Notamacropus eugenii: one gene and its partners. The protein of the gene in region 1 interacts with the protein of each later gene in a pairwise test. Links are inferred from orthologs where the notes say so. Each region holds a gene or a part of one and is shown in the gene's direction. Other genes may lie near its edges.

The links. The genes of interacting proteins can lie anywhere in the genome.
Region 2: the proteins of VASP (region 1) and TRIM9 interact in binary tests that used the Homo sapiens proteins (3 or more experiments, as listed by UniProt). The two-hybrid records come from large-scale screens. The link is inferred for Notamacropus eugenii from reciprocal best matches to the Homo sapiens genes VASP and TRIM9.
Region 3: the proteins of VASP (region 1) and ZYX interact in binary tests that used the Homo sapiens proteins (3 or more experiments, as listed by UniProt). The link is inferred for Notamacropus eugenii from reciprocal best matches to the Homo sapiens genes VASP and ZYX.

Annotation. Positions count from the first base shown.
Region 1 is NW_027325105.1:117,265-126,847, forward strand, and holds the start of VASP (vasodilator-stimulated phosphoprotein), read left to right. Parts: upstream 1-5,290; 5' UTR 5,291-5,426; coding exon 5,427-5,431; intron 5,432-9,583. Other genes in the region: RTN2 (reticulon-2), read right to left, coding at 574-607. UniProt on the Homo sapiens protein: Ena/VASP proteins are actin-associated proteins involved in a range of processes dependent on cytoskeleton remodeling and cell polarity such as axon guidance, lamellipodial and filopodial dynamics, platelet activation and cell migration.
Region 2 is NC_092872.1:334,230,881-334,241,308, reverse strand, and holds the start of TRIM9 (E3 ubiquitin-protein ligase TRIM9), read left to right. Parts: upstream 1-6,031; 5' UTR 6,032-6,328; coding exon 6,329-7,150; intron 7,151-10,428. UniProt on the Homo sapiens protein: E3 ubiquitin-protein ligase which ubiquitinates itself in cooperation with an E2 enzyme UBE2D2/UBC4 and serves as a targeting signal for proteasomal degradation.
Region 3 is NC_092874.1:104,910,387-104,920,795, reverse strand, and holds the start of ZYX (zyxin), read left to right. Parts: upstream 1-6,012; 5' UTR 6,013-6,027; intron 6,028-6,405; 5' UTR 6,406-6,511; intron 6,512-6,680; 5' UTR 6,681-6,692; coding exon 6,693-6,900; intron 6,901-7,361; coding exon 7,362-7,552; intron 7,553-7,808; coding exon 7,809-7,901; intron 7,902-8,217; coding exon 8,218-8,715; intron 8,716-10,409. UniProt on the Homo sapiens protein: Adhesion plaque protein. Binds alpha-actinin and the CRP protein. Important for targeting TES and ENA/VASP family members to focal adhesions and for the formation of actin-rich structures.

The DNA of each region.
Region 1 (9,583 bases):
TAGAAAAATTAATTCCAAATCTATCAGGAAAGACGAGGGGAGGCGGTGTTGATGTGTGTGTGTGTGTGTGTGTGTGTGTGTGTGTGTGTGTGTGTGTGTGTATGTGTGTGTATGCTTGCACTTGTCTAAAGCTGGAAAGGTGTGGGCGGAGGAGACTGCCCCTTAGAGACGGTGGCCCGGGATTAGTCCCAGGGAGTCCTGGGAAAGGGAGAAGGGGGAGGGATGGGGCGGGGAATGGCAGTCTTCCCCTCCCCCATTTATCCTAGGCCTTTCCCTAGGATCAGCACCACGGCTCGGGGACAGCTCCGGGTCTCGCCAGGTCTCCCTCGGTCCCTTTCCGTTCTACTGGCTGGGCCTGGCTCTCAATAGCCCGTTCTGTTTAAAAATGGAAGGCGCTTAGAGATCATCGAGTCTAATCCTTTCATTTGACAAAGGGGGGAAACTGAGGCCCATGGAGAGCTACATTAGTTGGCTGTGGGATGGGGATTCTTTCTTTGTCCTTACCCCATCAACCCCGGGAATCCCCTCCCTTCTAGAATTGGCACCCCTACCCCAGGGACTGGGGGGACTCACTGCAGTGGGCGAAGACTGGCAGCACCTGGCCCATGGCCCCGCCCGGGCCCGCTCCGGCCGCGCCGCCCAGGGCCCGGGGCCCCTCGTGCTCATCGCCCCGGCACCGCCCCAGCCGCCGCCATCCGCAGACCGTCGCCGCCTCCCTCCCTCCCTCTCCTCGGGGTCTGGGCGGGCGGGGCCCCGAGCTGGGACCGAGGGGAGCGAAGAGAAGGGGGTGGGGGGACTGCAGCACGAGCCCCGGGCCGGAGGCGGGGCTTGGGCTGGGGGGCGTGAGCAAGCGCGCCTGCGCGAGTTTACAGACGGGCGAGGGGACTGGGGAAAATAAGGAGCCTGCGCGAGTCTGGAAGGGGTGGGGGAAGGGGCGGGCCCTGAGGGGGTGGAGCATAAGCCGGGGAGGGAGGGGGGGCCTGCCTAGGGGCGTGCACTGGAGGAGCCTGAAGCCAAACTAGGGAGAAAATGGGAAAAAAATACTAGGAAACCGTGCTAGGGCTGGACTAGGTGGGAGGAGGAGAGGCTCAGGGAGGGGAGGGGATCCTGACAGAAGGGCGGAGGACACAACTGGAGAGAAGTTTTGCCAGCTCCTAAGCCTTCTGAAACTCACCATTCTGGGTGTGGGAGGGGCTCGGGGATCTCGAGAGGCGTGGCATCGAGCACCAGCTTGGGAAGCCTGGGAAGACTGAATGTGGTGTGAACCAGAGTGAGCCGCCAGGGGGAGCTTACACACTTTCATTCATTGGTTAAACTTTTATTCGGGGCCTAATAGGATGCCCAGGGAATTGCACTAGGCGCTAGGGAAAATATCACGTTCAAATAAGATCCAGGTCCCTGCCTTAACGGAGCTTACTGTTTACTAGGGAGATAACTTTAATCTTCAACACCGCCTGATAAACGCAGGAGAAAAGGACAAAGTTCTAGGTGAGGTCCAGCGGGAGGTCTCTGATCATGTTGTGAGGGAGTCAATATGCTAAAAAGCCCTGAATTGGGAGTCACATGACCCACCTTCAAATCCTGCCCCTGTACATCTTATACAAATCATTTCACCTCCTTAAGTCTCAGTTCCTCCATTTGTAAAATGAGAGAGTGAGCTAAATGGCTTCTGAGGTCCCTTCTGCCTCTAGATCTTTGACTCCAGGAGAAAGGTTGATTCTGAGTCAGAATCTTATTCAGCTAGAATAATAGACTCTTTAAGTCAGAGACTCTTAGAACTGTACTTTCTTAAGTCAAAATAGAATTTTAAGCCTTTATGTTTACCTGAGACTTACCATGACTCCCCTCAGATAATACTTCCTCTAAAAGGCTTCCATGATCTCAGTTCTCCCCAGCTGAAAGTATTCCGATTCCTTGTATCATCTTCCTATTTTGTCGTTTTCTTTCCATTGATCTCACAACACGCCCTACCTTCTGATTCTTACTTCTATCACATATTAGAATGTAAGTAAACTCTTTGAGGGTAGGAAGTGAATCATTTCATTTTTTTTTAAATCATAGTATCATAGATTTAGAGCTGGAAGGAACTTTAGAAGTCACCCAGTCTAACCCATCATCCAAATGAAACCAAGACAAAGAGAGATCAAGTAGTTGCCCCAAGATCACAAGGCTAGTAGGGTTTGGAGGTGAGATTTACACTCCAGTCTGCCTCTGATGGCCCATCATGGCATGTAGGTTCCTCTGGGTTTTTGAAGGCACTTGGTCTCTAGAATTCTCTACCAAGCTGGAAAGGTTGAATAGTGTTGTGTGTAGATCATAGATTGAAGTTCTGTTGTCCGAGTCAATTAATGTAGCCCCTATTTCCTGCCTTTGTCAAGCCTAGCTCAATTTAGAGAGGTTCATTAGCAGCTTGACCACAAAGTGATGAGGATGACTCTACTGAAGTTATATAGAGGGGTTTATGAGCTGTGTGCCTAGAGCTAGGACTCACAGTGCTAAAATTACCTCCCTTGAAATGTTTGAATCCATGAAGTTGTAATTCCCTCAGAGCCCCTTGGTCTGGAACATAGTGGGCACTTAGTGTTTGTTTAATTGAACAGAATCTTAGACTTTAGGACCTTAGATTGATAGATTCATAAGATCTCAGAGGCATAGAATTTTAGGACAGTAGAAAGTTGGCCAAGAAATTTTTATTGACCACTTCCTATGTGCAAAGCCTAAATGAGGAAGTGTTCACATTTGGACACTTCAGAGGTTCCTTCTACCTCCAGTCTTCCCTTTCCCACCCTCCCCCAGAGCCCCTTGGCCTGGAACAACGTGATCCTGGAAGGGAAGAGAAAGCCCTAAGTTTCTTCATAACCAAGGTCAGCAGCCCTGAAGCAGAATCTTGCTGTTAACCACCTTAGACTGTGAACTCCTTGAGAAAAGTCTCTTTTCCCTTTCTGTCTTCCCAGCACTTAGGTACTTAATAAATGTTTATAAGGGAGTGACTCTTCCCTAGGCTCCCTGACTGCTGAGGACTGGAGCAGAGGAAAACTTACTTAGCTACCCACCTCCCCCCACCATGAGACTGACCAGTCTTGTGGAAATAAATATGATTAAGGATAAGGAGGGGACTTCCCCTTTTTCAAGTTCCCCTGAAGTTAGAACATTTGAAAGGAGGAGAAATGTGAACCCTTTAAAAAGGTACAGGGGAGGGAATCCTAGGACTCAGAATCAGGTGAAGAATTTTGGTTTTCTTAGAGTCCAGAGAGGGGAAAAGATTTACTAAAGGTCATGCAGCAAGTTAGGGTCATAGCTAGGATTAGAATCTTGACTTCTCTATCTTAGAGAGGCAGCTAGATATTAGAGTAGATAGATCACTGGATCTGAAGTCAGAAAGATGAGATCAAATCTATCTAACTAGCTACATGACTCTGGGCCAGCCACTTAATCCTTAACTTCAGTTTGCCTCAGTTTCCTCAACTGTAAAATGAAGATAATAACAGCCTCCACCTCACAGGGTTCTTGTGAGGATCAAATGAGACATCTGCAAAGCACTTAGTACAGTGCTAGGCATGATAAATGTTTAAATCCCTGCCTACCCACCCCCCTTCCCCTTAGAGAGAAGACAGCATTCAATATTCCCCAAATGCCCACTCAGCACTCTACAGAATGATCAGCTAGCAGAAACTTGTGGACCAAAGGAAACAGATCTCTGGCATGAAGAGGTATTCAGTAAATGTCTCCTAAAGTCCAGGGACTGTGCTAAGTTCTGGGGTCATCATAAGGAAACTGCATTCTGGTCAGAGAGTTTCCTACCCGGTAAAAAGTGGAAAAGGGAATGAAGAGGCCTGCTGCCTGAGGACCAGAGTAGGTCAGTTTGGAGAGATTCATGACCACCTCAGCCACAAGGTCAGGAAAACAGTCCTCACTATGGAGAGGATTGTGAGCTGTGTACCTGGAGCAAGGACTTGCAGGGGTGAAACCATATCCCTTGAGGTATTGAAGCACAGGAGATGTATATATCCTTAGGGTCCAATATAGGATCTTGAACATAGTGGGCACTCTAAGTTCCTGGGAAAAGGGGGAGCTGGAAGAGGTTCTATGGAAGAAGGGTTTGGGGAGGTCAGTAGCTTCATCCCTGAGGTCATTCATTACTTTGGGAAAGTTTTCCTTTCTTGAGCTTTGAGGGTGTCCACTGCTCACTCTCATGATCTCCTGGCTAAGAACTCGGGACAGACCTGGAAGGGCTCTTAAAATATGGACTATGGAATGATGGGGGAGGTCACCAGCTTAAAGCACTGACTCAGTGCCTGGCACACAGTAGGTGCTGAATAAATGCTCGTGACCTGACTGATTTTGCTCACGAAGAGATGATCCTGAGGTCCAGAGAGGGGCAGGGAACTGCTTGAAGTCATCTAGTGCATCGGCGATAGAACCCAAACCTTCCGCCTGACAATTCGAGACTTTTCTCCCAGAGTCCTCTGCACTCAGTCTTTATAAAGATGGGGAACTCCGAACCCCCAGGGAACTCCCAGCAGGCCAGAGCAGGAGGGAATGAACGCAAACTCACTACTTCTTTTTCGTCTTCTAACTGGCAGTTTGTGTATTTAACAAGGGTAGAGGGGGAAACCGAGGCACACTGGATGGGGGGAAGGGCTGAAGATGGAACCCCGGCGTCCCGCCCTTCTTCGCCCTCGCTTGTCTCTCAGTCTGTCTCTTAGTCATCCCGGTCCACACCTACTTCCTCCTCCTCACCTTCCCCAGAGGAGTGGGGGCGGGGCTGGCTCAGGTCAGGTGAAGGGAAGGGAGGGAGGGGGATGGGGGAGTGGATCTATCTACAGTTGATTGATCTCTGGACCCCCCCGGGCACCCATACCCAAAAAAAGTGTGGGGAAGGGAGATTGACCGGTGTGGATGGGGAGCCACCAAGGAGAAGTGCAAGGGGCAGCGGGCCGGGCTACCGGACGGCCGGAACCTTTAAGGCGCGAGGCATTGTGGGCGCCCCGACTGTGCGGAGCGGAATGGGCTGGGGGGGGAAAAAGGGGGGTAGTTGAGGAAGCAGGTTGGAATCTTGGAATGAAATGTAACCACAGGAGAAAAAGCGTAACGTTCTAGCAGCGGGCAGCTGCAGCAGCGGCTGCGTTGGCCAGGCGGGCGCATCTGACCGGGAGGGGCAGCACAAGGCAGGGGGCGGGGGCAGGGGGAGGGCCCGAGCACCCCCAACTAAGAAGGGGGCGGGACCCAGACCGAGTCCCCGCCCCCCCATTGCCCCCTCCCCCTCCCCCTCGAGGAGGAAGCTACAGCCCTCCACGGGGCGGGTCCGGCCCCAGATCTGACCAGAGCTCCGGGCCCCCCTGCCCTGCCCCTTCCCCGGAGCCTCCGGGTGTACCCCGGAGCCCGGGAGCCCAGTGCGGCCCAGACCGCCCCTCGAGAGCCCCGCCATGAGGTGAGAGATACTAGGGCGGGGTCTGGAAGCCGGGAGACTTTGGTGGGGAGGGTGCTTTGGGCCTGGGGACGCTGCCGGGATCCAGGGAGGCCGCCTCCTCAGCGTAACCCTGTGGCTGGTTACAGGGAGGGAGAGAGAAGGTTGGGGGAACCCAGGGCTCTGGGAAAGGAAGGGAAGGGGAGGCGAGGGGCGGACCTCTTTTCCCCTTCGCTACAAGAAGTATTTTTGGGGATCCCCCTTAACCAGCCCTCCACAACTTTTGAAAGGACTCCCCCTGAACCCTACCGTTCTGGAGACTAGGCGGGGGAGGGGAGAGGGGTGTGGTGTCCAGGGACTCCTTGGGAAAAGGAAGGATGATGACCAGACCGTTGCCCCTTCCCGTGCCAGGCTTTCTTCTGTGAGGTTCCGATTGTTTCTTCCACTGTCCTGTTTCCAGGAGTTCCGAGATCCGTTAACCACACAGTGGTTTTTGCTTTGGTCTGGTTTGGCTTTTTGAGAGGCAGCAAGTTTTGTCTTGGGCCCCTTCAAAACGAAGCTGACACCTTATACACCCCCCCCCCCAAACCTGGGCGGTGAATGATGCTCTCTTGCCTCCCCTCCGATTCTAGAGTCGACCCGGGTCAGTCTCTAACTATACTCCCCCCACCCCAAATGTGGGGTTTCCAAAACCTCGCCCCGCCTGTAAGCCTGTGAAGAGAATGAGATGCACTGGGGGAAAGGAAGGATGAGAGGTCCAACCACCCCTTTGACCTTTGGAAACCAAACCCCTTCACGCTCTATAGTCCTCAGTTTGCCGACGAGTCCTTATTTATGTACTGGAAAGTCTCTCTGCCCTGCCTCCAGGGACGCTGAGCCCTAACTTTTCTGGGGTTTGATCCTTGAGTCCTCACATCAGGGCTGTTGAAGCTCTTAATTCTTAGCCGTCCCTCCTGCTTAGAGAAGGCTTAGATAGACCCTTAGAGCTGGGGTGAAGCATTACCTGTCTCCACCCCCGACTCTCCCCACACACACAACTGAGTTTCCCGGAGGGAAGAGGTCTCTTGTTTACATTCCCCTTCCGCTATATCTTGAGGGGAGGGGGTGTTAGGGAAGTTATCCAGAGGGGTAATCAGCCTTTCCCCAGAGTCTCCACCCCTGACCCCTCCCCCAGATTCCCCTGGGAAGGAAACCAACTGCTGGAGAGATGGAGGAGGGGCAGAGGCGGCTTTTGTCTCCTGGGACTCACCTGTCCAAGAGGGAGGGATTCTTAACCCATGTTCCTTGTTGGGGGGGTGGGGTGAACGGGGAAGGGAGAGGGCACCTGGTTGGGGGGAGGGGAGAGCTGCACACCCACAGGGGATCTAGATGCTAGGGGTTTTCATAGATGTGTTATGTATGAGAGGGAAAATAAAGTGACAGGCCCCTCGCAAAAGAAACCTCTCGACTTATAACTTGCTTATGAGAGGACCACCCTCCTGGAGTACCGAGAAGACAGATACCTGAGCTAGGGAGAGAGATGTTGAGGAACGAGTCCTTTTCCAATCCCCTGGGAGCCGCTGCTACAATGCTATCGCTTTTCCAGCCCTGGGATTTCCGGACAGCCCCCACCCTACCCCCTTCTGCCGAAACTGGGGTTCAAACCCCAGAATTTAGCTCCAAGTGACTTTAACTCCTGCCAGGCCACAGTCCCACCACACCAGCTCTGCTGCAATTTAATTCATTAACCTCCTATTAATTTCCTGAGGCTGTAGGGTTAATCTGGAGACAGGGAAGGGATGGAAAGGGAATTTCCTCCCTCCCATTCCCCCCACTCCCCAGCGGTGGCCGGAAGTCTGTGGGGTAGTGGGACAGTTTGACTATGATACCAATTTCCTTCGGTTTCACCACTTTTCCGGGCTAAGGGGGTTGAAAGGGGGGGTCAGCTGAGGCGTGGGGATATGGGGGGAATCGGCGGCAGGAAAGACTTCGTGGAATGTTCTAAGCGTTCTAGCTGTCACGTTCTATCAACCTGATCTCCCGTTTGTTCTAAAGTCTTATATTCTATGGTTCAGAGGCTCAAATGCGAAACATTTTAAAGGTCCGATCACCTCTCCATCCCTAGCCCCAACTTCTAGATCCCAGGGAGAAGAGGAAGAGATACCCAGGGAAAGTTGGGGGTTAAGACCCTGGGGCAACAGTATGTAAGGGGATTCCGAATGACCCCCCTCCCCGGGAGCCTATGGGTGAGATTAGTGTTTCTAACTGGCCAGCTCCCCCTCTCAGCACCAATAAGACAGAAACATTTCCCCTTCCCCCCTCCGCCTTTTAGAGTTCGGTCCTGGCTCCTTATAAGTCTCCATTCAGCCTTCCTTCCTTCATGGGAGTCAGGGGAGGAGCACGGGACCCCTCCCCTTTCCATTCTCCGCCCTACCTCCTGCCCCAGGTCCCTCCTCCTCCCCCCTTTTCCGGTCCCTGGTACAAGAGGTGGAGAGGATTGAGGAGAAGGCGGACGTCCGAGTCCCCGCCTCCCCGCAGCCCCCCCCACCCCCCACCCCCGCCAACCCTAGCTCCCAGAGACCGTAAAAGGCCAGGGCTAAAGCTGCTCTCCCCCTTTCACCCTGCTTCTCTAGCTTGACTTCTCCCTCCCCTCAATCCAAGGCCTGAAAATTGAAGGTATAGCTCAGGAGCCTTAGAGAGTAACAGCACGCAGACCTATTCCCAACACCACTTTGCAGACGTACAAACTGAGGCCCAGGGACTTGCCCCAAGCTACACAGGAAGCCACAAGCAGAGATAAAGCTTGAAACCAAGCTAATAAAGATTAGAGAGAGGCCACTTGGTGTCAAGGAGTCCAGGACACAGAGAGTCTGTGACATCTGCCACCTCAGAGAGTCGCTGTTTCTTGCTTCCTCACATCTGTAAAGAGGGGAATTGGCCCAAATGACCTCTAAAGTTCCTTACTGCTTTGAAGCCTGTGATGCTGTGATGCACAGAGACCTGTCTTATCCATATTCTCCCTTCCTCCCTACCTAGGGTCTTCCCTAGATTTCCAGGATCCTTTTCACCTCAGTGGGAGAGCCAAGTGGAAAGAACACTTTAGAACTTGGTTTTGATAGGCCTGGGTTGAAATCCCAGCCACAATAGCCCTGTGACCTTGGGCAAGTGGCTTAACCTCTGTGGGTCTCACTTTCCTCATCTGTAAAACAAGGGTAATTAATCCACTAGATTCACTGGGGTCCTGGTGAGGAAAGCACCCAGTAAAACAGGGCCCTGGGGAAATTGTAGCTGCTGTTACCTCAAGAAACTGGGCGTGGCTAAGGGCCTCCAACTTCCTGGGGGTTATTTGAGGGGGCGGGTAACAGGATGGAAAGTCACAGGGTTTGTTTCTCAGTCCAGCTTGAGTGCCTACTGGCTGGCTTCCTCCAGGTCACAGACACTGGAGCCTACAGGGTAGTTACCAGGGAGTGGGGCATTCAGGCATTGGGGAATTTCCTCCTCTTTGATTTTCTATGTCTATGAGCCCCCCAGTCATACTGAATGTTGGATTCTAATTCTTCACCTCTCAGGATGTGGGGCTCATCTAGTTCAAACTTGGTCCTCATATAGGAATCTCCTCTCCAGCGTGATCTGTCCAGGTGATCAGCTACCTTCTCCTTGGACACTTCTACCTCCAAATGGGAAGGACTTCTGTATAATAAGACAAAGTACTAGGAGAGGGATTACAGACCCAGAGCTGGGAGGAATCTCCAAGACCAGCCAATCTAACCCCTTGGTTTTTACTGAGGCACAGAGGGGTTAAATGACCTTACCCTAGGGTCACACTGTAGTCATCAGAACCTAGCCAGGTCTTCTGACTCCAAAGCCAGCAATTGGGCTACTGGGAGGGGTGGGGAAGGGAGGAGAGGGAGAGAGAGAGAGACAGAGAGAGAAAAGGAGGGGAGAGAGATGCAGGGAGGAAAAGAAAGAGGGAGAGAAAGAATAAAGGGAGACAGAGAGGAGAAGAAAGAGGGGGAAGAGAAAGGGAAGAAGGAAGGAGAACAAAGAGCAGGAAAGGGAGAAAGAGAGGGAGGGAGGGAGGAAAATAAAAGGACAGAGGAAGGGATGGAGAGAGAAGGAGAGGGGGAGAAGATCTAGACTTGAGAGCTAGGACCTTTGAGTTCATTTGGTACAACTCTGTCATTTTACAAGTGAAAA
Region 2 (10,428 bases), on another chromosome or scaffold:
ACCTTTATTGCATAGCAATGACAATTCAGGTACTGGGTGACCCAGTGCTAGGGCTATTTAGAGAACTGCTCCAGAGTGTAAGATGTTTTGGAAATATTGATTTGCTTCTACTCTCCACTGAACTGGATTTCACTGAAATGAATTTCAGGAAATGAAGATACTGGATTATACATGTCTGCTTCACTTGTTTTTGTCTAACTTGACTTAAGAAAATGAAAATTTTATTATAAAGAAAATGATTATAAGGATTGATCTTTTCTGCGTTTATTAGGTATAACCATGTCTGTTTTTCCTTTGTGTTAGTTGCTATAAATTAATCTATCTACAAATATTAGTACAGCCATATAGTTTATTTCAAATCACTATCATGTGTCAATGAATTAAAACTCATCAACTTTTTACACTTATGAGTTAAAACATGATAATGAATGTTCATATTTATATACATAAAGATATGGATTCAATTTTCCTTATAAATTGTCACACTATTAGATGGAGATTTTTTCCTACATATAGTAATCAATAACATTGTGTTAAATGTTCAGACTGAAACAGAAAGATAGACTCTTTTTCTCAATGATTACTTTGATGTTAATATTATAAAAAGTATAATTTTCTAATTTTCAATGAGACAGCTATTATGTGCTTCCCTTTTTTTAATTTAACAAGACAACTACTAAGAACCATGAATTTTCCCCACTGAAACAGATATGGCTGTCAAGAGCAACAATTGGTATGAAGAAAAGAATGACTTGATCTATCACTCCACATCTTGGAAGATGAGATAACTTGATATTAAAAACATGCATTAAGAAAGTGTAGGCAGAGTAAAGATGGCAGAGCAGAAGAAGCACTACAGAAGAATTCTCAACATTCCTCTCCAAACAACTCTAAAATAACATTTCAAATTGAATTCTGGAGCAGCAGAGCTAACAAAAGGTCAGGGTGAGACTCTTTTCCCCAACACAAGACAACTGAGGAAGTTCAGGAGGAACACTGGGGTTGTCTGGAACACCTATAGCAGCACACCAGCTGTGGAACTTGGTGGTGGCAACAAGACCAGCAGCAGCAGTGTCCAGAGCTCTCAGCCCAGAAATGGTAAAGGAATTGGTCAGCTAGTCAGAAAGAGATTGTAGGTAACCCCTGTGTGCTAGCACTGGACACAGCATGGGACACTATTTGGCAATTCCATTGTCCAACTCCATTTCTGGGTTGCAGTTTCAAGGTGGAGAGAAATACTAGCACTTTTAGTCAAAAGAGAGCAGGGGCCTTGAACAGTGACAGCATTTCTAACTACAAAGGATTGATTAGAGACTCTACTTCTGTAAGTACTAGAGCAAAGACCAGCGGACCATACCTCTCCCCAGATCATACCACCTTGGGAGCACTGAAAACTTCCAAACTCCCCAAAATTGCTCTAAAACCAGTAGCGTGAAAATGCCTGAAGTTTGAGATAGTGCCTCCATTTATCCCTAGGTGAGGAGTCCAACTTTAATATGAAGTGTAAAATCAAGAAATAGGCTGGGAAAGTAAGTAAACAAACAAAAAAGAACCTAATCATAAAAAGACACAAACTCAGAAGAAGACAACTATGTCAAAACAACTACAAGCAAAGCCTCAAAGGAAAAAAATGCAAATTGGACATGAATTCAATAAAAATTCCTGGAAGAGTTAAAAGTTATTTTGGAAATCAAATAAGAGTATTAGTGGGCAACTGGGAGAAGAAATGAGGAAAATTCAAAAAAAAATAATCCCTACAAAAAGATAATAGCTTGGTAAAAGAGATATAAAAATACTGAAGAAAATAATGTCTTAAAAAACAGAATTGGTCAAATGGTATACATGGAACCTTCATGAAAATTAACTGGGTAAGAGGCATAAAAACTTCATGTACAAATGCAGAAAAGCAGAAAATATTAAATGCACCTCTTTCAAACCACAATACAATCAAAATTATATTCATTAAAAAGCATGGAAGTGCAAATTAAAAATTAATTGGAAAGCAAATAGGATAATCCTAAAGAATGACTGAGTTAAAGAAAAAATCATAGAAATAATAATATCATGAAAGATAATGACAAAAATGAACTCATATACCAATATTTGTGGGATACAGCTGAAGCAATGCTTAGGAGAAAACCAATCTCTAAATGTGTATATCAATAAAAGAGATAAAGATCAGATTAATGAAAAGGACAACTAAAGCCCCCAACAAATTAGAAATCCCCAATTAAAAACCAAAATGGAAATTCTGACAGTCAAAGGAGAGATGAATAAAAATGAAATTTAAAAATATTAAACTAATAAATAAAATGAGGAGCTAGTTTTAGGAGAAAACCCAATAAAACAATCAATTAATTTAACTTAAAAAAAGAAAGAAGACAACCAAATCACCAGTATCAAAAATGAAAAGGGTGAATGCACCACCAATGAAGATGAAATCAAAACAATTATTAGGAGTTATTTTGCCCAATTATATGCCAATAAAACTGACAATCTATGTGAGATGGATGAATATTTACAAAAAATATACATTGCCTAGATTAATAGAAGAGGAATAAGTTCTTAAATAACCCTAAATAACCCTATCTTAGAAAAAGAAATTGAACATCAATAAACTCTCTAAGAAAAGATTCCCAGGACCAGATGAATTTACAAGTGAATTTTACCAAACATTTAAGGAACAATTAATGCCAATGCTACATGAACTTTTTGACAAAAGAGATTAAAAAAGGAGTCTTACCAAATTATTTTTAAGACACAAATATGGTTATGATACCTAAACCAGGGAAAGCAGAAACAAAGAAAGAAAATATAGGCTGATTTCCCTAATGAATTTTGATACAAAAAAAATTGAATAAAATACTAACAAAGAAATTAAAGCAACATAGCTGAAAGATGATAAATGATGACAATGTGGGATTTATACCAGGAATGCAGGACTCATTCAAAATAGAAAAACTATAAGCTGACCATATCAACAACAAAAACCATATGAATAGATGCAGAAAAATTTTGACAAAATACAATATTCATTCCTATGAGAAACACAAGAAAACTCAGAAATAAACAGAGCTTTTCTTAAAAATATAAAACTAAGAGCAAACATTATTTGTAATTGCAATCAGGTAGGAGCCTCCCCAATAAGATTAAGGGTGAAACAAGGATATTCATTATTACTACCTTACAATATTGTACTAGAAATCACAATTATCGCAATAAGAAAAGAAAAAGAAATTTCAGGAATAGTAGTCGGTAATGCAGAAACAAAACTTCTACTCTTTGCAGATGGTACAACGGGATACTTAGTGAATCCTAAAAAATCAATGAAAAAGCTAGTTGAAAGAATGAACAACTTTAAGAAATTTGCAGGATATAAAATAAACCCACCTAAATCATCTACATTTCTATGTATTACCCAGCAGGAGGAGATAAAAAGAGAAATTATATGTAAAATAATATAATATATAACTATATTATATATTGTGTCATAATATGTAATGCAATATAATATATAATAAAATGTAATATAATATATAATAAAAAATAAAAATATAATTATAATTCTACATAAAATAATAATGATTGGGAGTCTACCTGCCAAAGCATATGCAATGAATATAAGAACAAAAAATACTTTTTAGACAAGGAGAGATATCTAAACAATTAGAGAAATATTAATTGCTCATGGGCAGACCAAGTCAATATAATGAAAATGACAATTCTACCTAAATTAATTTGCTCATTCAGTGGCATACCAACCAAGCTACCAAAAATTATTTTATAGAGCTAGAAAAAATAGTAACAATTCACCTGGAAGAACAAAAGATCATGAAAGAAGATCAATGAAAAATGTTAAGGAAGGTAGCCCAGCCATAGTAGGTTTCAAACTATTTAACAGAACAATAACCATGAAAATAATCTGGTACTGGCTAAGAAATAGACTGCTGGATGAGTGGAATTGTTTAGGTATACAATATACAGTAGTAAATGATCATAATAATCTAGTGTTTGATAAGCCAACCCAAAGATCCAAGCTCTATGAAACTATTCGACAAAAATTGCTGGGGAAAATGGAAAGTAGTTTGGAAGAAAGTAGACATAGGCCAACATCTTACACAGCATACCAAGAAAAGGTGAAAATGGGTACATGATTTAGGCTAAAGAGTGATATCATAAATAAATTAGGGAACATGGAGAAATTTACCTGTCAGTTCTATGGCTAAGGGAAAAGTTTAGGAACAAAAAAGAGATAAAGAGGATCACAAAAAAGTAAAATGAATAATTTTGATTACATGAAATAAAAAAGGTTTTGTACAAAGAAAACCAATGGAAACAAAATTAGAAAGAAAGCAGGAAACTAGGGAAGGGTGGAATTTTTACAGCAAGTTTCTCTAGTAAAGATCTCAATTCTCAAATGTATATGGAACTAACACATATTTATAAAAATAAGCTATTATCTAATTGATAAATGGTTAAAGGATATGAATAGGTAGTTTTCAGAAAAAAATCAAAGCTCTTCATAGTCACATAAAAATGATCCAAATCACTATTGAGAAATTTTAGAGAAATACAAATTAAAATAACTCCAAAGTTTGCCTCACATCTATCAGATCAGCTAACATGACTGAAAAGGAAAATGATAAATACTGGTGAGGATATGGAAAAATAGGGAACTGATGGAGTTGTGTTTTGGAGAATAATTTGGAACTATGCCTAATGGGTAATAAATCTGTGCATACCATTTGACTCAGCAATACTACTTTTAGACCTATATCCCAAAGAGATCACAGAAAAAGGAAAATGACTCATATGTACAAAATGTTTATGGCAGCTCCCTTGGTGCTGGCAAACAATTAGAAATTGAGAGGAGGTCCATCATTTGGGGAATGGCTAAACAAGTAAGGGTATATGATTGTGATGGAAAGCTATTGTATTATGAGATGCAGAATGATTTGAGAAAAAACTAAGAAGTCTTATATGGAATGATGCAAAGTGAAGTGAGCAAAATCAGGAGAACGTTGCATATAGTAACAACACTATTTTAAGGATGAGCAACTGTGAAATATAATTACTCTCATGAATGTAATGATGCAAGACAATTCCAAAGGACTCATGTTGAAAAAAGCTATCGAGTTTCAAAGAATCCTCATGAACTCTGAATACAGACTGAAGTATATATTTTTCACTTTATATTTTTTTTCCCCAACATAGCTAATATGGAAATGTTTTGCATGACCTCACATGGATATATTGCTTGCCTTCTCAGTGGATGAGAGGATTTGGAGAGAGGGAGAGAATTTGGAGCTCAAAATGTAAAATATTACAAATAAACTATAAAAATAAAAATGTGCATTGATAAGAAGAGTGATATTAAAAAGTGTCCCTCTGTCTCCCTGGTATGCTGCTCCTCAAACAACCACTTATTTTTGTCTGTCCTTGGTCTCTGTTGACTTCACTTTTCTCCCTCATTGAACTTAAAGACCTCATGTTCCTATGAGACCATCATGCTACATAATGCAGTGTGGAGAAACAGAGGACCCTTTCAAATTGATTGAATGAAAAATGGAATTGAGAAAGACGAACCAGAAACCTTTTAAGGACTGAAACGGAAAGTTTAAGACCTAAGGTAAAAAAAAAAAAAAATCCAAAGCTCAGTTCACTTCTGCCCCTGCTGGGAAATGAGCAGCTTGGTTATGGGCAGAAGACAGGGAAGAAATGGCTTACATAGTATTCTTGGAGAGCTGCTACAGTGGAAAGGTCATAGAAAGGAAGCATTCTTGGTAAGGGGAAAGGGGAGAATGGGTCGAGGGAGAATCTTTTGTCAGAATAACCTTTGGAGAAAGTCACCTGTCATCTGGAAGTGTTTTCTCACACCCCTTGCCCATGTAGACGGTAGGGAAGACTGGAACGCAAGAATAGCGAATTGTTTCCCAACACTACCGTACTCTATAGGGTGCTGAAGCGCAGACTCCTTAGTTCATCAACATCCCCCAACCCCCACCTCCCTGCCTGCTCCCCCAATCCCTTGCTATCTGCGGAGGCAAGTTGACTGAAAGGGACCGGAGCCAATGGTAGGTCTCGACCCACTCTCATTCCCCCAATTGGCCGGAGGAGAGGAGGTCCAGGCTGTCTGGCTCAGTTTTCTGCTAGCCAGAGTGACAGACTGCTGTAACCAGGGAAATCGGAAGGCAACTCTCTGCTTTTACCGCTGTTACTGCTGTTGCTGCAGGCCAAGGTGCTGGCCAAATCTAGCCTGTTAACTAGCGGGGACTACAGGTTTGAGGCACCAGTCTGTCGCCGCTTGGTTTATCAGCCCAGCCCTCCTATGGAAGAAATGGAAGAGGAGTTAAAATGTCCGGTGTGCGGTTCTTTCTATCGAGAGCCTATCATTCTGCCTTGCTCTCACAATTTGTGCCAAGCGTGTGCCCGCAATATCCTAGTTCAGACCCCGGAGTCTGAGTCACCCCAGAGCCGTCGGGCCTCGGGTTCTGGGGTCTCTGATTATGACTATCTGGACATGGATAAGATGAGTCTGTACAGCGAAGCGGACAGCGGCTACGGCTCCTATGCAGGTTTCGCCAGTGCCCCCACCACTCCCTGCCAGAAGTCTCCGAATGGAGTCCGAGTGTTTCCCCCGGCCATGCCACCCCCTGCGGCCCACTTGTCAGCATCTCTGGCCCCAGTGCCTCGCAACTCCTGCATCACTTGTCCACAGTGCCACCGTAGTCTGATCCTAGATGACCGGGGCTTGCGCGGCTTTCCTAAAAACCGCGTTCTGGAAGGGGTCATCGATCGCTATCAGCAGAGTAAAGCTGCGGCCCTCAAGTGCCAGCTCTGTGAAAAGGCGCCCAAGGAGGCTACAGTAATGTGCGAACAGTGCGATGTTTTCTATTGCGACCCATGTCGGCTCAGATGCCACCCGCCTAGGGGACCTCTGGCTAAACACCGACTGGTGCCCCCAGCCCAAGGCCGAGTTAGTCGGAGGCTGAGTCCCCGCAAAATTTCCACCTGCACAGATCACGAGCTGGAAAACCACAGTATGTATTGCGTCCAGTGCAAGATACCCGTGTGTTACCAGTGTTTAGAAGAGGGAAAACACTCTAGTCATGAAGTCAAGGCTTTGGGGGCTATGTGGAAACTGCACAAGGTGAGTCTTACTAAATCTCCTCCATCACACCGCCCCCCCCCCCTCCCCCAGTACTCCTTCCCCGTCCCGAGCCACAATTGCACTCCTTCCATCTGTACTAGGGTGTCTGTTTACACTAGGGTGTTCCCCTCTTTCAGACATAATACACCTCATTCAGACCTTATGGTCAGGAGGGGCAGTGCGGGGGACTATTTTCTTGCTTTGTCTGGTGCATTGCAGGAGATATGGTGCCCTTTAAAATTCAGTAGGGAACTGAATGCTTCAGAAGAGGGACTGGGAAAACTAAGTGGATGGTCTGAGGGACAATAATGTTCAAGGTCATCTCACTACCTGCACAAGTTGGCCTGCAGATTAGGGCTGTGGTCAGTTTTCCAGTGGAACGCGCTTAGTTGCAGGTAGAATCAGTGCTCCTAGCCAATGGTGAAAAACATCTGCAAGGATGAGATGTTTGTTTTAATTTGGTGGATGCACTAGATGCAAGACTTTATGCTCACACAGACCCATTGGGAAGTGGCAGTGTAAATCCGCCAAGCAGAGGAAAATGTGACCGCGCATGCGGTTGGCTTAGAAAGATCAGCTGGGGTTAGAGCTCCCTAGATCCTGGAATCTTTTTTTGGGTGGGTGGTTGCTGCAAATATGTCTAGTGTAAATGGAATATTGATGAACTAGAATTAGCTTCTAACCACATCACCTCATCCCTGTGTGTCACCTCATCTCAGTGTAACAACCAGAGTCATTGCATAGGTGGTAAAACTGCTGTTGCCTTAGGAACAGATGTTGCGTAGGTGGATATCCCCTCCTGCCTGCGTGGAGGGAACTAAGGCAGAAGTAACTTCAATTTGGCTTACCCTGGGGATCTGCCTCAACCTGGGAACTGCTGAGTACTGTACATCTTGCTAATGTACTTCAACAAAAGCCCCTAGAAACTCCTTGTAAAAGTCACCTTTTAACATGTTTAATCTTTCCAGTGTCTGAAGACTGAAAATCTCATTTGTTGATGTTGGAGGGGACACTGCTGTCAGTATCTTCCAAGAAAATCAGCATAAACTTGTGCTTTAATTTTATTTTTAAAATTTACATTATGGGAGATGTTAAGGAGAAAGCAAACACAGGATTAACTTTAGTGAATTTGAGGGCATACTTCCAATTGCTTTGTATTTAATTGCTTTGTATTTGTATAATTCACAAGAGTGAATTGGTGTGTTTGTCCTGCCACAGATACTCCAACAATTGCCATTTTCCTTTTTTTGTCATAGTTGTCAATCTACTAGTTCTGAGCTTGTTTTAATTTATTTTCTATAATTATTAGTGATTTGGAGTATTTTTTCACATATCTGTTAATAGCTTGTATTTCTTTTTTAAAAAACCATTCTTGCATTTTCACAATTTATATATTGGAGAATGCCTCTTGTTCTCATATATTTGAATCAATTCCTTATATATCTCCAATAGAACACTTATATTAAAGAAATTTGTTACAAAGATTTTTTTCCACAAAACTATTTCCCTTCAGATTTTACTTGCCTTGATTTCATTTGTCCAGAAAATGTTGAATTTCAAGTAATCAAAATTATCCATTTTATCTCCTGTGGCCTGTGTCATCAGGAACTTGAACTCATCCCCTATTCCTAGTAATCCCTAATTGTGAAAGGTGTCTCCTCCCTAGGTCCTTTAATTTGTTTATGGCATGACTATACTGACCTATCATATGTGTATACGTGATAGTATATGTCATGCATCAATTTGTAGCTTATTGTGGTAAAAACCACTTGATTTAGAATGACTTTGTTAGGCTTCTGGAAAGGTCTCTAACATTTTTTCTATACCTATAGCATTGGTGCTTAGTTTGGAAATGTTAAGGAAAGATTTGTATCCAAGCTTTCCAGTGATGTCTAAAATTTGAAAAGAAACAATTACTTTTCAAAAGCACTTTCTGTATATCTTTCTAAACTATAAAAGAATTATTTTAGCACAGTGTGTTTAGGTTTTCTATTGCACTAATCACAGATTAGTGGTATAAATTTAACTTAGTTACAGTATATAATTTTGCAATATGTTGCCATACCTCTTTGCTAATATTTTATTCACTGTATTTTGAATACTTAATATCTGCGTCAATATTCATTAGGGATAATGGTGAATAACTTTCTTTCCATAGTTTAGATCTAAAGATCATATTTCTAGCACTGAAGGAATTTGATGGAATCCCTTCTTTTCATAAGTTAGAAAACATATTTTGTAATGATGGAATTAATTATTTTTTGAATGTTTGATAGAATTTACTTGTAAATTCATCTGATCTTTTTTTCTTTCAGATTTATTGTTCAATTTATTTTTCTGAGATGGGATTATTTAAAATTTGATTTCTTGTTTTGCTAATCTGGATATTTTATGTTTCTGTAAATACTGATTTTTTAAATTACCAGTTTGATTGGTATATGATTGGGAAAATCTTTTCTAGTGGTTTATTTTTTCATTGGATATGGTTTCTCCATTTTAATTTTTTGATATTAGAAACTAGGTTTTTCTGTTTGTCAAATAAGGCTAGTTAGTGGAGTTTCTGTTTTCTTAGAATTATTAAAATTAATTTTTTTCCAACAGCAAAAAGTCCCTCTTACCTACCACTTGAGAATAAAAGAATAAAATTCCTCTTAGAAACATATAGTTATACACAGTCAAGGAAAAGAATGCATATACATATATCTATCTATCTATTTATATCTCTCTGTTTATGTATTTCATTAGGCACATCTATATATAGATTTGTGTGTGTATGTTTTGTTCTGCATTCTGAGTCTTTCAGGTATGAGGAAGTGGGCAGCATGTTTCATCATTATTCCTCTGAAGTTGTGGTTGGTCATTATGCTGATAAGACTTCCTAAGTTTTTCAAAGTTATTTGTCTTTATAAAAAAAGTTATTTGTCTTTATTGTCATTGTATAAATGGTTCTCTTGTTTCTGTTCACTTCATTTTACATCAGTTCATGTGAGTCTCCCCAATTTTCTTTGAAACTATCCTTTTTATCATTTTTTTTACAGTGTATTAATATTCTATCACACAATTTTATACATCCATAGTTAAAGTTGCTTTTCCTTATCATGCTTTAACTGGCCCTCCCTCTTACTCTCCCCTTTCTTTCTATTTCCATGTCAAGTGAAATTCATTTCTCTACTCAGTTGTGTGTATGTGTGCATATTCTTCCTTCTTTTGACCTTTTCAGATGAGCATACTGAGCGAATGTCAGTTTAAATATTACATTCCCACCTGTCCTTCTTTGT
Region 3 (10,409 bases), on another chromosome or scaffold:
TTTAGAATTCTATGGATAAGATACCTTGGCAATATACTTTCCAGGGATGCACATATAGATGATGAATTTGACATAGTGATAGCTCAGTGTTTGGGAGGCTCCTAAGAAAAGTGTGAGAGAGAAGAAATATTAGACTGCCTACCAAACTGAAGGTCTACAGAGCCATAGTGCTGACCTCTTCAACCTCATTATTGTATGCCTGTGAAACCTGGACAGTATACCAGTGCCATGCCAAGAAACTAAATTACTTCCATTTGAATTGTCTTAGGATGATTCTGAAGATCACCTGACAGGATAAGGTATCAGACACCCAGATCCTTTCTCAAGTTGAACTATTACACATTCAAACTCTGTTTCTAAGAGCATAACTCCAATGGGCTGACCACTTCGTTCAAATGCTAAAAGTAGTTTTGCCTATAGGTCAATTTTATGGAGAACTCACACAAAGCAAGCACTAACATGGAAGTCAGAAGAATCATACAAGGACATTCTCAAGATCTCTCTGAAGAACTTCGGAATCAATTGTGAGACATAGGTGACACTGGCACAGGACTGCCCAGAATGGCATGCTGGAATGAAAGAAGGTGCTATGCTCTATGAATGAAGCATAATTGCAGTAGCTCAAAAGAAATGTGAAATACACAAATTTGGAGACATCTCCATTCCAAATGTTCATGTGGACTTTTTGTGCCCAACCTGTGATAGGGCCTTCTGACTCATATTGTTCTGATTAACCATAGGCAGATACACTGTACCTTGACCCCAAGATAATGATATCATTTTGGTCCTCATGCATGAAAGACCCCATTTTTACATCTATGAATGTATGTATACGTATATATATATACACATACATACATATATATATACACTTACATACATACATATACTTGTATATATATGTAAAAATGGATAGAGAGAGGGTGAGAGAGATTCATTTAGAGGGAGTCCAAATTCCTTTCTATTATTAATATCTTCCCTTTTGATTCATTTGCTTGTGCTCAAGGTCTTTTAACTGAGTTTTCTTCCTCTTATGATCTTTTGTATTCCACTATCGTTTACTTTCTGACTCCTTTCCCTTTGAGTTTTCTTGCTTGCGGCCTCATTCTCTAACCTAGGGTTCCCTGAGGGACAGAACTGGTCACAATTATATACCAGGGCACTTTCCTTTAAACTTGGAGGAGCCCCACACATTTTGGTACCCTGTCTTAGTTACTTTTGTCTCTTAGTTCTTTGATTGAGCGATGTCACCGCATAGCAAGCTGCGTGCCACTTTCGTAGGCAGAGAAAGTTTCTGGCTTTTGGTTTTAATCAATGCAGGGAAAAGAGTAGAGCTAATTAAGTTCTGTTGCAAGCTCAAGTATTACCTTGTGCAGCCCTGCCAGAATATGGTAGCCTGGAATGGGGGTGGGGTTGGGATGGGGAAAAGGTGCTGAGTGAGACTCTTAGGGATTAGCCTCTGTTGTTTCTTCATCAGGTTATTACCTTATTAGGGTTCTTGGTGTCTTAGACCATGGAGACAGCTGAAAGTCACTTATCTCTTACATATAGTTCCTATTTTGGAGAGGTTTATGAGGATTGGAGGAAGTATTTAGTCTTCTGTTTTGTTGGTCATGTTACTCAGAAGTCCTGCTTTTTCTATTTCTATTATAAGCTCAAAACAGTGCTTAAGAAGATCAAAAACGGGAAAAGCAGATGGATTATAGAAGAGCTTGTGCTGAATATTGAACAATTGTGGTGCCATTGGTGGACTAATTACATTGCATCTAAAGAAGATACTAAAAATGTAGGGGGAAAATCTTGGACTTTATTAATACTGAAAAAAGCAACCAAGAGACCATCAGAAACTAATCACCTATATACCTACTCTCCCATTTATACAAAATCCTTTTGAAAATCACCTATATAGTAATTGAGAGCATCCTTAACAAGGGTATTCAGGTAGGGAAATGACTTTTAGAAGCAATCTTCAGCTATGGACCACACCTTTACTATTTCAAAATGAAAGATTAGAGAATGTTAAGGTCCCATTTTACCCATTATTTGTTAATTATAAAAAAAACAACAACATTTGATTCATATGAACAAAATGCTTCCTTGTATGCTTTTTTACAACAAAATATCTCCCATCCATACATTTGTAAAAATATATTCACTAAAGACTGTCCTTCAAGGAAATCTCAAGAAATAATATAATGACAAGATCCTGGTTTGTTGGCTAGTTGGTTGTTGTTCTTCATTCTTGAAGAGGACCAAAATGACGTCACTATGCTAGAGTCAAGTTACAGTGTGTCCAACTATGGCTGATCAGACCAATAGGAGCTCAAAATGTTCTACCACTGAATGGGCACAAATACGTTATGTGAACATTTGGGGTGAATTCTCTAAATCTGCGCATCTCACGTTTCTTTTGAGCTATTTCAATTCTTCTTTGCTCATAGAGCCCTGCACCTACTCTGATGAGGGCAGGCCATGCTGAACGGTCCTGTGCCAGTAGATCCCATGTCACACAATCAATGCCAAAGTTCTTAAGGACACCCTGAGATTGTCCTTGTAATGTTCTTCTGACCACCATGTGAACCTTTGCCCTATGTGAGTTCTCCATAAAATAGTCTTTTTGGCAAGTGTTCGTTTTGCATTTGAAGAAATTCTGAAGATCACCTGGCAGGATCCTAGCCTAAAAGAGGCAGTTAGATAGCAGAGCAGCTCTAGAGACCTGGACCTGAGGTCCGGAAGACTTATCTTCCTGAATTCAAATCTGGCCTCAGACACTTACTAGCTGTATGACCCTGGACAATTCACTTAACCCTGTTTGCTGTAGGTATTCATCTGTAAAATCAGCTGGAGAAGATTTTGGCAAACCACTTCAGTATCTTTGCCAACAAAACCCAAATAAGGTCTTGAAGAATTAGACCTGGTCTAAAGTCCTTGGCCTCTCCTTAACGAAAAACAAAATAAAACTTATTGGTCTCCCTGCTTTTGAAGGTGTGGTCAATGCAAAGGAATAAACACCCTATTCCAAAGTTCTTGGTTTCATTCTTATCAAAGATCTAATTGAGTCAATCAAATTTAGGAAGGAAACCTGAAACCTTGAAACTAAGATTAGGTTGGTGACCAAACTAGGAGCTTGAATATCTTTGTGTGTGTGTGTGTGTGTGTGTGTGTGTGTGTGTGTGTGTGTGTGTGTGTGTGTGTGTATGTATGTATATAAATATATACATATGAAATAAACATATAAAGAACTTTGAAAGAAAGGCATTCAGATGACTGGGGGAGTGGGATATACCTTTGCCCTTTCTCCCCTTCCATTCATTTGTATATGGGACCAAAAAGAACCTTGAGGTTGAGAAAATCAGGGAACTTTTGCTGAGAGGGAAGTCTTTAAAGTATTTCTGAAGTGGTGATGCTTGGCAGTTGGAATATAAACAGATGTTATAAGGGTTTTCTGATCCTAAATTAGATAGAAGTTTGGAAGAGACCTTGCTTTTGGTGAAGTTTGGGTTGAAAAATAGATTTAATGCCTTGTGTGTGTTCATCCTTCGTTGCCATCAGAGAAATAACGACATGACTTGCACTTGACTTTGTTTTGAGTGAGGAAGGGCTGTGTAGGTCACCAACCTCACTTCTCCTCCAGACCCCTCTGAATCCAGTGACCAGATATTCATCAGGATGACTGGAGATGACCCAGAATGAGGCAGTTGGGGTTAAGTGACTTGCCCAAGGTCACACAGCTAGTGAGTGTCAAGCGTCTGAGATGAGATTTGAACTCAGGTCTTCCTGACTCCTGCACTGGTACTCTATGCACTGCACCACCCAGCTGCCCCTTAATGTTTTGTGGGCAAAAATTAGCTAACTATTTTGTAAATCAAAAGGACTTTGCCTCTGAAAGAAAATCTTTGTCTCTGAAGAGGAAAGTCTATATCATGACCATGACTCTGAATACTACCAAACTAATCAATGGGAAGGAAAACAATTAGCAGTGATGTGATGTGATGGCTCTGCATTTCTAAAAGATGTGAAGCCTTTGGACTTTAAGCTAAAAGAGTCATGGTGGAGAGCCCACCCCTCTCCTTCTTACAGCAAGAGATAACACACTTCAGCTGATGATTCTAGCTGGTTAGAAATTAGTAATAGAACAAAGCTATCCAATCTTGTATCTGGTGGATCCATATTTGGCAGGAACCATGTAGACCAACAGAAGACCATATAGCAGAAGCCAAGCAAGATCAGTGGGGAGTATTCCTAGGTGGAGCAGCATGGTAACATCTCCAGAAGACATCAGCAGCCCTAGGTTTCAAAGGTGTGAGTTGCCCATCCCTGGGTATACCCTGCGAATAAGTGTTTTCTACATATGTGCCCCTCCATACATGTTTCCTAGTTGTAGTTCACCTCTTCCAGTGATGGTGTGTGTTTATAGAAGAGTGTTATTCAGTTTTATGGGGGAATTATTCTAACGTTATTTCTTCTTATGAGGCTAATTCATTAAATGCCTTTGCATTCATCTACTGTTGTCTGCTCACTAACTAGTAACAATTAACAAATTAGGGGATAATGAACTATGATCTGAGTGGATGTGGACTCTGAGTACCGGAGACCCAATTGTGAGTGGGGTACTGAGGTGTTACCTTAGTATTATATAATTCTTGTACATAACATAGCCTGTGTAGCTTATAAGCAACTTGAGGTCAGTGTTTGTATTGGTTTTCATCTTTGAAATCCAGTGTCTTGCGTTGCATAGATACTTAATAAATACATTTAAATTGACTTTTTATTAAATTGATGAGGAAGGTAGTGGAAATGAAAATAAGGGAGCATGTAGGAGAGGTAGAAGGAGCTTAGAATGTGAAATACTTGAACACAGAAACAGTCCCTTTTGCTTGTACAGTAGTTGTATCCTATATTGCTTAGCACAGGACCTGGCACATGATAAGTACTGAATAAATGCCAATTGACTTGATACTCTTCAAAAGAAGAAAGTACAGCATTTGATAATGAGGGATAGACTACAGATGCTTACAGCACTGGAAGTCCCCATCCACCACTTACTTACTAGGTGTTTGTGGAGGAAAAAGTGAGGCTGGTGACCTTGCATAGCACTCCCTCACTCGAATCAAAGTCAACTGCAAGTCAGGTCATCATTTCCCTGATGTCATGGTCCTCTTCGAAAATGAAGGACAAGCACAATAACTTAGGTGTATGACCCTAGACAAGGTATTTACTACCCTTATGGCCTAAAGACTCTTCCTCTTTAAAAAGAGGGGTTGAAGTAGATCTAAGGTCCCTTTCATTTATAGTTTTCTTATTCAATGACGCTAGTTAGGTTTTCTTTCTGGCGGAGGGGGGGTAGGAGTGTGGGGGTGTGTGGAGAGATGCACCCAAACTGAATTGGTTTTGGCTTTTGTGTGTGTAAAAATACCTTTCTGACCTCTCCATATTCTCCCCCCAAACCTTCAATAACTGAAAAGACCACACCCACCTCCACTTCCCTTCAGTTTCAGGCCAGCCCAGTGCATGCCTCTAGCAATTCTGAGTCTTAAATTCACTAGCCCAGAGGGGCTTTTGGGGTGGAGCTCTGGCTAACCCGGAGCTGCTGAAAAGACGTATTTTGAACTCGTAGCTCAAGAGCTAGAAACCTTTCCTGGACCCCTAGGGAAATAGGGTCTGGTGATTTAGCAGTCCTTCCTCATTTCACTGCCCCGGCGCCCTCGGTCCCCCCATTGAAACGTGTGGATTTTGTCTAAGCGTGTACGTGTTGGCGGCGGCCGTGGGGAGAGGGTGGGAGGTGTGTTTAGTGGCTAGGAGCGGGTCTACGTCCTTTCTCCCTAGAGTCTAGACCCAGAGCAGGCGGTAGGCGGGAATTCTTGGGGACCTGGGTGGAGGAGGAGAACGGGGGGCGGGGAGACAGGGCTGGGGGGGCTAAGAGAACAGCTGGTTTGGACTGGAAGACCAAGTCAGGGGCAAAGGCTGGATCTGCTCCTTCGGCCCCCAGCCCGACTTTGGCCGCACAAAGCCGAACGGGGGTGGGAGGTGAGGATGGGGGTGGGATGGGGGGAACTGGGACAGTGAGTCAGACCTCCGGGAAGGAGGAGGGGGCCGCTGTGTGTTGGGGGGAGGTCAGGAAATGACATCAGCGGAGCGTGTTTTGGGAGGGCCGGCCCGTCTCTGACTCTGTAGCCCGCGGGGAGGTTTGCTGGGAGGAGGATCTTCTCTGCTTTCCCTGGTCCTGGGCGTGATCTGGGCCCCTTCCTGGGGGAGTTTCCTGCTCTCCCACCCCCCAGCCCAGCCCAGCCACCTCGTCTCCCCAGTTCTCCCCGCCTCCTGGCTCCAGATCTCCCCGCCTCCTCTCTGGGCCGCTCCTTGTATGGTCTCCCTGCCTCTGTGTCTCCCCGCCCTCCTTCCCCCCAGTCAGAAGCCGCTCGGGACGCCCGGACGGACGGAGTCACAGCTGGGCTGGACGTCGCACTGACCACTGTTCCTTCGTGCTGGCGGAATAGACGGGCCGAGCCCCGCGGTGAGAGAGGATGGGGTAGAGGGGACAGGCGGCCCCGGCCGCAAGTTCAGGGTGGGGGGTGGGGGGGGCCTGCGGGCCCTTCCCTGTCCCGGGGCTGGGGGCTCCAGAGCGGGCGGGGAGAGCCATCCATTCATCCTTCTGTCCATGGTAACTGCGGCCCTTCCTCCAGCCCAGCCTCCGCATGGCGGCCCCCCGGCCCCCCCCTGTCATCTCCGTCTCGGTCTCGGCGCCCGCCTTCTATGCCCCGCAGAAGAAGTTTGCCCCGGTCGTGGCCCCCAAACCCAAAGTGAACCCTTTCCGGGCCGGGGCTTCGGAGAACCCGCCAGGGCCCGGGGCCCAGAGGGCTCAGATGGGCAAGGTGGGGGAGATTCCTCCCCCACCCCCGGAAGGTAAGGACTTTGTGGGGGGATGTCTGGAAGCCAAGGGGTGCAAGGGATCGAGGAGCTTGTGTGGGTAGGGGTGGGGAGGTGGAGAGGGTATCGGGCCACTCGGTCTGAGCAGATGTTCTTACCTCATCTTGCAGCCCGTGGCCCCGAGCCAGGACTCCTGGGTCCATTTCAAATTCCTGGCCCGGGGGTGGGTGTGAGCGAGAATGTGTGTGGGGCATGGCTCTTTGAGTTTGCTTGTTAAACTGAAAGGGGGAGTGAGTTCCCTTCTCAGCAGGACTTCCTGACTTAAAACATACCTTCTTAATGGAAAGAGATCTCTTTATGGGGTACTGGGATACCCAGGACTTCAGAGGCCTGAACAGGATGCCCAGTAAACCTTAGGTCTTACCTCATTCCTTACAGGCCCTCCCAGTACAACTGGAGGAGGGCCTTGTTGATGAATCTCTTTCTCCTGCCTCTAGATTTCCCTCTGCCACCACCTCCATTGCTACCTGGGGATGATGGAGAGGCTTCTTTGGGAGGGCCCTTTCCGCCACCCCCTCCTCCATTTGAGGAGCCATTCCCCCCTGCTCCAGAAGAAGAGACATTCCCTTCCCCTCCACCTCCTCTGGAAGAAGAAGTGGGGGTTGAACCTCCAGCACCAGCCCATCAGGTGAGTGAAGGGAAAAGAGCACTGGGCTGAAATGGATACTCCATAAAAGGGCTATAGAAGGAGGCCTACTGTTTCTGCCTGGCTTTCTCCACTTATGGGCAGGGAAATATTCAGTGGGGGCAGGGAACTTTAGGAAACTTCCATATAGCCCTATAGGCTGTGTAGGATTGAATATCCTTGGGGGAGGGGAGTCCTGAAACTCAGTGTACGATGTATAAAGAAGTCTGCCTGGGTCCTCAAATTCTTTACTCCTCAGCCTAGAGGAAAGGTGAGCAGCATTGACCTGGAGATGGATTCTCTGTCCTCCCTTTTGGATGACATGGCCCGGAATGATCCCTTCAAGCCCAGGGTGAGGGATGGGGTAGGGAAAGTGGGGGAGGTCAGGAATGTATGTGTGTGTTTGGGGGCTGTGTCTTTGTAGATAAAGTGAACCTACATAGGTGTGTGTGTGTGTGTGTGTGTGTGTGTGTGTGTGTGTGTGTGTGTGTGTGTGTGTGTGTGTGTGTGTATTTGTGTGTGTAGATAAAGTGAACCTGCATAGGTGTGTGTGGGGGGGCTGTGTCTTTGTAGATAAACACAGTGAACCTACATAGGGGTGTGTGTGTGATAGGATAGACAACACCTTCTTCTAACTTAGTTCTCCCCCTAACTCCTCTCCCCTGCAGGTTTCATCTGGATCTGTGCCTCCCCCAGCTGCCCCCCAATTCCCTCCCAAGCCTAAAGTCCCATCTGCAGCTTCTGGCACAGCACCTCTTCCTCCTTGGCTGGCTCCTACTAGCCCTCCTCAGTCCCACTCTGTATCTGTGTCTAAGACCTTAACCACACAGCCTCGAGGTCCCCCAGCTCCAGCTCCACCAGTGGCTCCAGCTCCACCAGTGGCTCCACCTCCAGCTGTAGCTCCATCTGCAGTTCCACCCCCACCCCCAGCCCCTACCTCTACCCCCAAGTTTAATGCTGTGGCCCCCAAGTTCACTCCTGTGACCCCTAAGTTTAGTCCTCCAGCACCTGGGGGTCCCCCTCACAAGAAGGTGGGTCCTTCACCCCCCACTGCTGCAGGGTCCCCTCAACAGCCTCAGCCTCCCAGCTTCACCTATGCTCAACAGAGAGAGAAGCCCCGTGTGCAGGAGAAACAACGTCCCGTCCCGCCTCCTGCCCAGGACCAGGTGAGGGGAAACTACAGGGGTCTGAAAATAGGAGCAAGAGGAGAGGCTAAGCATAAAGTCAGAGCTTTCTGGAACCCAAAGTTAGAATGAGAGTGGGTGAATTTCTTCTGTGTGGAGTAGTGAGGCAACCAAAGTGAAGAAGGGAAACAGCACCTCCAGAGGAGGGACCTGGAAGGGTCTGGGTGTTTGGGTGGGGTAGGGTTGGGAGTGGGTAAGTAAAAGCACTAAATTTAGAGAGGCCTGAATGCTTAGTGTTTTAGTGGGGCTCTGAACTAAGTTGCTTTACTCTGGGCCTGAACTCAAGACTTCATCTCTAGGTCAACATTTAGATACTTTTCCACTTAGTCCTTTTTGAGTTCTTCCCCTTTAACAATGGGAGGCTAAAGGAGGCTGATCAACTGACTTTCTCTTATCAGCTGTCCGCTTTGTTTCCTGAAAGAGCATTACTCACTTTGTGGGGGTTGGCCTGGGCCTTGGGAGCTTTCTAGCAATAGCATCATTATTATCAACATTTATTAAGTAGCTACTAAGGTAATGTGCCACATGCCAGAGATTGTTAGTAAATAAGACGTGGGCTGTTTTTGAGAGGATGCCCATCTAGTTGGGGAGAACAGGATGCATACATAAAAATGCTTAGCTCATACTTTCTGTCCTGTGTCAAATAGTATGGAAAATAAATCTGGAATGGAGAGAAATTCCCCAGGGCTGAGCCATTTGGGGAAGCCTTCATGAAAGAAGTAGAACCAGAGCTGAGCATTGAAGGAAGGATAGAACTTAGGTGGAAAGGAAGGTGAGGGCATCCTGAGCTCTAGGGAATGGGAATATGGGGCAGAGTGAATAGTGAGAGGAAAAGCATGGATGTAGGAATGTGTGTGAAATGTTACAGGAACAGGTTGGCTTTGAATTTAGCTAGATTGGAAAGTTATTAGCTTTGGGGAGTAGTGGGAGATAAGTTTGGAACAGTTGGTAGGGGACTGATTAGATGTTCAACCTTTCTAATATTTTTCTGTAGGCAAAGGGAAGGTTTTTGATATGTGCGAAATAACATTTTAGGAAGATTGATTGAGAAGACATTCATAGGATAGGTTGTGGGGAGAGACTTGTTAGGAGACTGTTGTGTTATTTCAGGATTGAGGTACCTAGCAGGGCAGTGGGAAAGAAGGGGAGGATGGAGGTGAGAAATAAGAATTAACAGGTGCTGGTGACTTGATATGGGAGGAGTGGGAGGGATGACTTCAAGGCTTTCAGTGTAGATGACTGGGAGAATAAAGGCATTGTTGACAGATGAGAATAAATCAGAAGAAAGATCTGGTTTTGGGAAAAGTCTGTTTTAGTTATGTGTCAAAAAGCCATTTATGTAGAATTGTCCACTTGGAAGTTAAAATTGAGACTGAAGCAGAAACAGTCTGAGGACTAGACTGAGCAACACCCACTTTGAAGGAGGAAACACTTAAAGGGTACCAGAAATGACAATACAGCAATGACATGGAAGCTGGAAGAGAGAACTTCAGGAAATATGGGCTTGTCCACAGTGTTGGTCAAGGAGAATGAAATGTTAGGAAAGGCCAGGAGATCTGATAATTGGAAGATTACCTGGGATCTTTGACGCCTGTTTCAGTAGAGTGGTGGGAGCAAGTTATGAGAACTCGTGAGAAGCAGCAAATTTGACTGAAGACACGATGCTTTGGGGTAGT